Linked DNA regions of Nothobranchius furzeri. The protein of the gene in region 2 purifies or fractionates together with the protein of the main gene of each other region. This does not show direct contact. Links are inferred from orthologs where the notes say so. Each region holds a gene or a part of one and is shown on either strand. Other genes may lie near its edges.

Region 1 (4,424 bases), on a different chromosome or scaffold from region 2:
AGTTAGAGGAGAAAGTAGCATCAGATGACAGGATTTCAAATTTTACTTCCTGATATTTGGACGTCTCGCCTTAGATTGGATAACAGCAACACAGCTCTACCACTCACTGTTTGCTCTGCAACGCTGATGTTTTATCTGCACAACTAACACAAGCCTGAATGAGCTTCTGCTGTGTGGTGGAGTTGCTAATGCTAACGGTTAGCTTCTACCAGCCGAGATGTTCTATGCTGTTTTCTGGACGCTAAACCAACAATAGCCGTCCTCGTCATGAGCCAAGATGGGTGAGCCCATGAATGTTTAGTGACAGTGTAACGTGGATCTGTCAGGATTTTCTAACCCTAGACTTTCACCATCTATTTTCTAGCTAATCCAGAAGATAGGAGACTTTTGTCATGTTCAGCCTGCATGAAAAACCTCAGAGTAACTAAAATAATCATTAAAAAAGGTTTTTCAATGAACCACACCTTAAAACATTCTTACCGAGTTAACGTCCCAGATCTTCAGAGTTTTGTCATCCGACGCAGAAACAAGAAGGTTGGAGTCAGATGACCAGGCCACATCAGATATTCCCTGGAAAATAAAGAAATTCTAAGATCTCAAGGCTTCAAGGACATAAAATGATACAAGAGTAAACAATGGAGTCATTTCTCATGTTTATCTTCTAAAAATGTAAATACAATCTTGTTCTTGCTTTGAACGACCAAACAGATCAGACTCAAAGTTTTTATTATTCACTGCATGTGAATACCCTCTGCTGCTGCATGGCACTCAAATGGTGTGTTTGGAATAACAGAAGAAAAAAAGAACAGATATAAATATATAAACAGAAGTACATGTTTACTAGATATGTAGCAGCAGTAAATGTATTCACTTTATATTAGACTTATTGCACTGGTGACTGAGGTTTTTGCTCTAATGCGCATGAGAGGGTTTTAGTACATTTAGTTTACTGCTGTGGGGAAGGGGATTGTTTGCACCAACTGGACGGCAAGAGTCCAAAACAGTAATGACCAGGGTGGGAGGAGTCTTTGATGTTTTAGTAAAAGCGGTGAAACTCTACCTAATACAGTCCTGCAGGCAGAAACACAACAGTGCCACAGGTAAGGGTCCCTTCTACTCACAAGTTTGTGTCCAGAAATGGTTTTCTCAAACTTGCCATCATAAGCGCCCCAGATTTTGATGAGTTTATCAGCAGCTGTAACACAAACAATGAAAAAGACATCATGAAAAAGAGAAAAAAAATGACTGAAAAGTTGCAAAATGGTAAAAAATATATAATTTCCCCATTTCAATCATTTCAGCTGATCAGATATTCAAATGAAACGAGTGTACCCAAAGATAAATACTAAAACCAATAAAAATTTCACAATTGCATAAGAATATTTAGTCACTAAAGCACTGCTATTATTGTTATTTACATTTAACTTAGAGCACAAAATACACTTCATCTATGCAGTACAAGTGTTTTATCAAACTTTAAAAAAAGCTCTGGATCAAACATAGTTTCACAAAACCCAATACATTTTATTATGGAATGAAAGAAGATTTATGTTGAGGTAGCTGAGATTTAAACAAGATATGATTCAAAATGAGATGCTTACACGAGCTGGCGAGCCATTCTCCACTTGGACTGAATTTAACCGAGGACACAGCCTTAGTGTGTCCCGCTAGTGTGAATTTCAAACTGTAGTTTGGTTTTGCAGGTGCAGTCTGCAAAAGAAAACCAGTTCTAATTTAGCAAATGAATAAACATGATGAAATACTTTCAATAAAGAAAGAAAAAATCCGAAATAATGCTGGAATATTGACAGTCCTTAACAAAAACTTAGAATTAAACTATCATAAGAGGACAGGGTGGGAGATTACAGGCAATGCCAAAACTTGGGTTTGTCAGACCTTGCTTTGGCTAGCAGAGGCTGATGGGACAACTGGAGGCTTGGTGTCAGTCTCTGGTTTCTTGTCCTCTGTTGCCATGGTGAGGAAATCAGCATCTATTGCACCTGAGACAAAAGAAGAAACCATAAAAAAAGTTAATAAATCAGGCAAGTTAAACCTAAAGATTAAACAACTGGGATAAGTTATTGGGTGGAAATTTTACAATTTCTAACACCCGGAATTTTAAAGTTTGGAGAAATAAGATAAACCCTCCAGCTCGATGACTGCTAATAACCACCATTAAGGTAAACGTGATTAAAAACTATTGTTTTATCTGTTAGCATTAGCTTCCTTTACTGTGATCTAAAATAAACAGTGGGGTTTACTTTAAATAAGATAAATTAAGTATATATCATGTAAATTTTACTTTAATTAGGCTTATTAATAGGCTGTGATGCTCAAAAGTATTTAAATGCCCGTTTAGGGTCCGTTTAGCTATAAAATTAGCTAATGCAGCTAGCTGAAGTTAGCTAACGTTAAATTGCTCTTACTATGAAAACCGATTGAGGCCAACCCCCTTGTCCGGTTACCGTTTACCATCTTGTGTTGCCTTCAAATGCATTGACACCAGCTCGTTTTTGCTTCGAATTATTATTTATGCGAAAAATAAAAGCAAACAAAGGGAGAACGAGTACGTTCGCTGTAAAGTTCAACACCTGAATATACTTGGGTTACCTTCGAACAAAACAACGTGAAGATCTATAGATTAGAGGCTGTCTCGCGGAATAAAATGTATTTTGGCATGAACGCCACAGTTATATGAAGAAGCTAATCGCAGTTTTGACATGCAGTTGATGCTGTTGACAAGTTATGCAGCCACGAAGGGGGCCTCCATTGAAACAATGAAGATTCGGTTTTACACCGATACTTACGTTGATCAATTTAGATCTACAGTCAGACTGGTACTCCTTGCAAATCCTGGAAATCTAAAACAGTCCGTATAATAACTAAAGAGAGATAGAACAAAGAACAAATCAAGCTATTTGCTTGAGGATGTTTGCCTGGTAAAGGAACGAGCTGCGAGGTGAAGCGGGGAATGTGCTTACAGTTTGCGCAGGCGCATGACGTTCAAAAGTGACGGGAACTAATGAGGGACAATTATGAAAAAATCGTTTCGACTGCCGTTTGAAAAGAGCCCAATAGTTTTAATTAATCTTATTTATTACAAGTTTGTATTTTTTAAATTTAAAATGACAAAAATTCTCAACAGAGAATTTGTAGAAGTACATTATGTGAAATACTTCATCTAAATTTCAATGAAAGGCAGTAGCCATTTAAAAACCAGGCTGTGGCTGTCAGAGTCAATCAATATGCAAAAAGGAAAAGTCTACATGAAACAGAAACAAACACACAGCAAACAAAAATCTAAATAAAACAAACAAATTACATATCTTTAATACGTCGTAACCTTATTTTATGCTTTATGTAGTTATGAACTACTGACTGTGATATTTTCATAGTAAATCACTTGCATTTATTTATATAACCCTAACCATTTACTTTTTAGCTCAATACTTTCCACAATTATAAATATGATTTTGTGAAATGCAGATTTCACACTTTTACCATAAATCAGCTGTGAACGCGCTTTGGATTCTCCGGCTCAACAGATGGCGCTATGAGCACCAGACCTGTCCCTTCAGCCGTGGCTGCAATAGGTCGGGGAAGAAGTTTCTAGTTCTTTTTGAACACACTGCACTCTGGTGTTCACTAGTTTGTTTTGGCTTCGGTGAGCTTTCTTCCAAGCCGTGCAGCGTCAAGCTCCCATGTCAACACGCCCTCTTAAATGAGTTGGTAAACACTTCTGTTGTTATTTTCTTATTTTTACTCATTACTTAGCGGTTAGCCTCCTCCATAACAACAATAGGTGTTTAAAGAAGCGGACTTCTTCGCTTCGTTATATGATAATTTAATTCAAGCTTATTTATTGGCGCTACATTTTGCCCCAAATTAAAGCAAACGTTACTTAACCAAAACCTGTAGTTGGTATTTCGAAACTTATATCAACAGTCGGTGTCACAAAGTGTGTTGTCATCCGCTGCAGTGTCCCTTACCAAACCAGCTAGCTAACTTTATGCTAACGAACATCGTGCATACTTGTGTTTTTATTTCACGATAAGTATTTGAAACGTTTTAAAGCCAATCATGTCGCTTTGTCCAAACCTACATTTTAATACATTTTGAGTAAAACCATCTCGCTTATTTAGTCATTTAGTCTCATTCGTACATTACGCCACGTTTTTCACTGTAAACGAAAAGTATTTGACGATATCTTCTGCGTCACCGCTTATGAAAAGCTTTTACAAGTTATTTCGGGAATCTGAAATCATGTTGACAAATGTCTTCTAACTTTAAACTGAGCTTTGTCTCGTGTTCTGTTCTTGTGGCTAACGTGCACGTTGTCACGTCCGCCAGATTTTTTTTCTATAAATATTTTGAACGTGCACGTTGGTTACGAGTCTCCTGGCTTGAAGAAGGCAAAATTTAGA
Region 2 (4,174 bases):
GTCACCATCCATGAGTCTACTACAGGTGATAAAGCCAAGTCTTCGATCTCTACCTTTTTAGTGTGAGCATCATTAGGTGAGATGCAATGATCAAATGACAGGTAAAACTATGGTTGGACTGATTTTAGTCTCCTTTAAATGTTTCCATTCATCAACACTTCCTGCCAGCTGTTCCAGGCTTTTTTGGAAGTTTAACATCTCCGACAGGCAAATAGCTGTTAACATGTGACCAGTTACTTTTAAAATAAACTCCATAATGTGTCTTTACAAGTGGTTATAGAAGAAACCAACCATTATCCATTACTGAGAACCAGCAGACTGAAGCCTCATTTACACCAAGTGCAGAACAGAATGAGCAGCTGATAGAGCTCCAGACAGGTGTGGACATTCATGGTCCTCCTTGGATAAATATCTCACCACTGTTCCTCTAAGGAGATCAGAATGCTGCTGCCAAAATAACATTCTGATGTAGGCCAAGGATTGATACCCTGACAGAACCACTCAGCTGGCTGTGACACTTTTAATAAAGCAACATTTAGGTTTTCTTTTTTCTGTATGCATTTGTCCTAAACTACAAATGAAGAGGGTAAAACTAGGCCACATAAAACCTTTATTTGAACTTTATATTTACAAACTGTAAACAAAGCGTTCATTTCAAACACGTCGGCACTTGCATCAAGGAACAAAACATTTAACTGAACTCAAAAAGGTTGACATAGACTCAAGTAAAAAAAATAAACAAATTGGAATGTGGACTGACATTATCGCTTTTTGACTAATCTTATATCCAACCCAGTCACCTGCTTTGACAAACTTTTAATCTACAATACCCCAACTGCCATACAAATGATTTTGTCTCAAATCAGCTAAAGTAGCTAAAGAAGAAAAAAAAAAGCAGAACAGAGAACACAATAAAAACCTAAAACATAAAGGTGTGCAGAATCCAGGCAAAGGCTACTGAGCCTCATCCTCTGGACAGGAATGCCACGTCAGCCGCTCCTCATAGAAGGATATGACCACCTGAGGGCAGCGCGTGTTGGCCTCACGAGCAGGGACCAAGTCTGCTTCATCTGACTCTTTCCTGGGGGACAAAAAAATAAATAAAAACTAAAATAAAACAGCAGATCTTAGAAAAGCCTATTTAAAAATCAAAGAAATAAATTATATATATTCAAGTGATTTTATTTCTAAATACTCTACATGTTTGTAATAAACCTTTTCCGCTTTTAGTTCGACTCCCTAAAAAAACACTAATGGCCATGCAAAGCAACCGAGGTAAATGTGAAACTACTCTTGTTGAAATTGGGTGTAAAGTCTGCCTAACTCACCACTTCATCAAGAACATCAGCTCCCCGCTGCTGTCTGTGGCACCAATGATTCGCTCTGGCTCCAGGTTCCTGGCAAAGCCGCGAGGCTTATCAGGCTGTCAAATAAAAACAAAAACAGGTTATAAACCATATTCTGATTGCACAACCTACAGGGAATCATGCTAGCAGGTCAGAGACATAAAAAACGTATAATCTAACCACATCTTTCTTCTTGGGTTCCTCTTCTGCATCATCTGTGGAGGCCTTCCTCTTCACTGCAGCCGGCTTCTCCTTTATATTCTTCTGGGAATCCAGAAAGGCCTGAATGAGCTCGGGGCAGTCCAGGTTATCCTCGGGTTCCCAGGTGTTGTCCGCTCTGAGGGAGCAAAAAAAAAAAAAAAAAAAACAGGTTAGCGTTCAAACCAAAAACATCCCAAACGTGTTAAAAGGGAAAAGCTGGGAGGCTTCATGCAGCCACGGTGCGTTAGAGGCGGAGAGAGCAGGACATTGTCCCGGGTAACTCACTCTGTGAAGCCTTTCCACTTCAGGTAGAACTCTACTTTCCCGTTGACGATCCGCTGGTCCAACACTTTCTCCACAACAAATTCTTCAGGCTCCTCCTGGGTCTCGGTCTCCTTCTTAGGCTTTGTATTCTGTTTCTTGCCCATTTTGCTTTTTAAAGATAAAAAGACGAGCCGCATTTATTCGGAAGGCCTTAAATCCACCCGGATGCTAGGCTACAAATAACTCAGCCAACGCTAACATAGGACATTACTCTAATTTGGCCCACCTGCTAGTTAGCTCAGCATTTAGCAGCTAAACGTAACAAAGGTTGCTAACACGCTGACCCCTTACCTAAAATTTCCTTGATTTTAAACAGTCTCATCTGCGGATTTTATTTGAGCAACAGAATTAGTAGAATTGTAAAAGATAAAATAAAAACTGTGGTAAAACTACAACACATCCCCACAAAACAACACCTTACTTGCCTTACTTTCAGCTAGCTTAACATATTACAGTAATAGCTAAACAATGGCGATGCTAACGCTGCTGGGTCAACAACTAAACTGCTGTTTGTCAAAAAACCAGCAACGTATAGGTGGCGTTTTAACACGCTCAGAGTAGCCTGATGTAATTAAAGAAATACTCAACATTGTTTTAAAAGAGAAGAACTCCGCACACTCACCCAAAGCGCGCGGATTTCTATAGTTGTTCAGCACCACGCCGCTCGGATGAAGTCGATCCCACAACGAAGGCGGCGCCAAAAACTAGTTGTGGCTACGGAAGCCCAGAAGGAAAAGCGATTCGTCTGCAGCCGAGCTGACCCATGTGTTCCAGAAGGGCCCTTTTCATGAACCAAGGCTTCAAGCCGCTAGTTAACGCAATCTGAGACACGTTGGTAGTAAATGAAAACGTTTATATATGTTTTAAACTATAAAGTAGTGGAAGGAATAAAGCATAAACACTAGCAATCATTTTCTTTTTCAGATTGTTCAAAAATGAAAAATTTAACAAATTGACCCCAAAGTCATAATGCTAATGCTGAATTCAGATTAAATTGAGCACCTGATGTCTCAAGTTGTTTAGATTGTTCTCAGACTGAGTGAAACAATTTCTTTTACTTTCTACTGAATACCGTAAATGACTGGCTTGTGATTTTGAACGAGTATTTGTTAAATATGCTTTACAGCCATATTTTAATAAATCTGTCTGCCTTCTGTCCTGAAATGATGCCGGTCAACACAGGTGTTCAGCTCAGGTGAGGAAAATAATGTTGATATGCTCACCAGCACGCAGCACCATAACAGTAATGGTATATATAACCTGTTAGCCAGACAAAACAAGACATTATTTAAATGTTTTTAATAAAGAAATCAAGTATTCTTCAATCAGATTTATCTTTTCAATAATCACCGCAAACAGACAGACAAATGTGACTCATGCATGAAAAAACAAGATGTATGAAAGTGAAATGCACACAAATAAACGTTTAAACCAGGACAAAGAGAAAACATGATCTTTGGATCACAATTAAGTTTATACACTCCCTAGTGCAGGGGAGTCCAATCCTGGTCCTGGAGAGCCAGTAACCAGCAGGTTTTGTGGTTTTTCTGCTTCAAAATGCTTGATTAGCTGGTTGAATCACCTGTGCAGCAGCTCATCAGGCTCTGCAGAAGCCTGTTAATCACCTGCTGATTGAAATCAGGTGTGCTGAAGCAGGTTAAAACGAAAAACGTGCTGGATAACGGCCCTCGAGGACCAGGATTGGACACCCCTGCCCTAGTGTAATCAAACACTCAGCCTGTCATATTGCATTCTCTAATAATCCCAAACATATAAACAGACAACAATCATTCTTGTTTGTGTAGCGAGTGGATAACATATTTTGCATGACAGGGGATTTCTTCTGTTCTAAAGTTATTTTTAGGTGAGGTTGTGCTTTAGTAGATGTGAGGGGATTCATGTCAGATCAGCTGACTTAAGTAAAGCACAAAAGGGTCAGCAGATGAGTAAAGTTTGCCTTTTTGTGCCATTTAGAAGCATCTTTATGGGAAAAGTGAGAAATTATGTTTTCCAGAATGGGTCTTTGTAACATAGATACAACCTTATGTATCATTTTGGGTGTATTTTAGGAGTAAAGAGATTATAAAACAATTATAAACAAGAAAAAAACTGATTAGAATACCTCACACAATCTCACTGAGAAAGAAAATCCATTTTAGATGAAACTGGAGCCAAAAATCACAGAAAGTCATCCCTGTAAACTGGAAATCAAACAAAAGAAGTTGCGTGAGACCGTTTTAGAATTGTTCTATTTAACTCAGCAAACCTTACAGAAGCACGCTGCATATAAAACAACATTCAAC

Evidence for each region. The genes of interacting proteins can lie anywhere in the genome.
Region 1: the proteins of cbx3a (region 2) and wdr5 purify together in Homo sapiens (affinity purification with mass spectrometry; 3 studies listed by BioGRID and IntAct, with this or other methods). This does not show direct contact. The link is inferred for Nothobranchius furzeri from reciprocal best matches to the Homo sapiens genes CBX3 and WDR5.

What each region holds. Positions count from the first base shown.
Region 1 is NC_091746.1:41,695,316-41,699,739, reverse strand, and holds the start of wdr5 (WD repeat-containing protein 5), read right to left. Parts: upstream 2,995-4,424; 5' UTR 2,808-2,994; intron 2,001-2,807; 5' UTR 1,975-2,000; coding exon 1,897-1,974; intron 1,711-1,896; coding exon 1,602-1,710; intron 1,196-1,601; coding exon 1,122-1,195; intron 571-1,121; coding exon 481-570; intron 1-480.
Region 2 is NC_091751.1:29,401,534-29,405,707, reverse strand, and holds cbx3a (chromobox protein homolog 3a), read right to left. Parts: upstream 2,643-4,174; 5' UTR 2,494-2,642; intron 2,481-2,493; exon of another isoform or gene 2,163-2,480; intron 1,980-2,162; 5' UTR 1,976-1,979; coding exon 1,833-1,975; intron 1,684-1,832; coding exon 1,527-1,683; intron 1,424-1,526; coding exon 1,329-1,423; intron 1,082-1,328; coding exon 955-1,081; 3' UTR 594-954; downstream 1-593.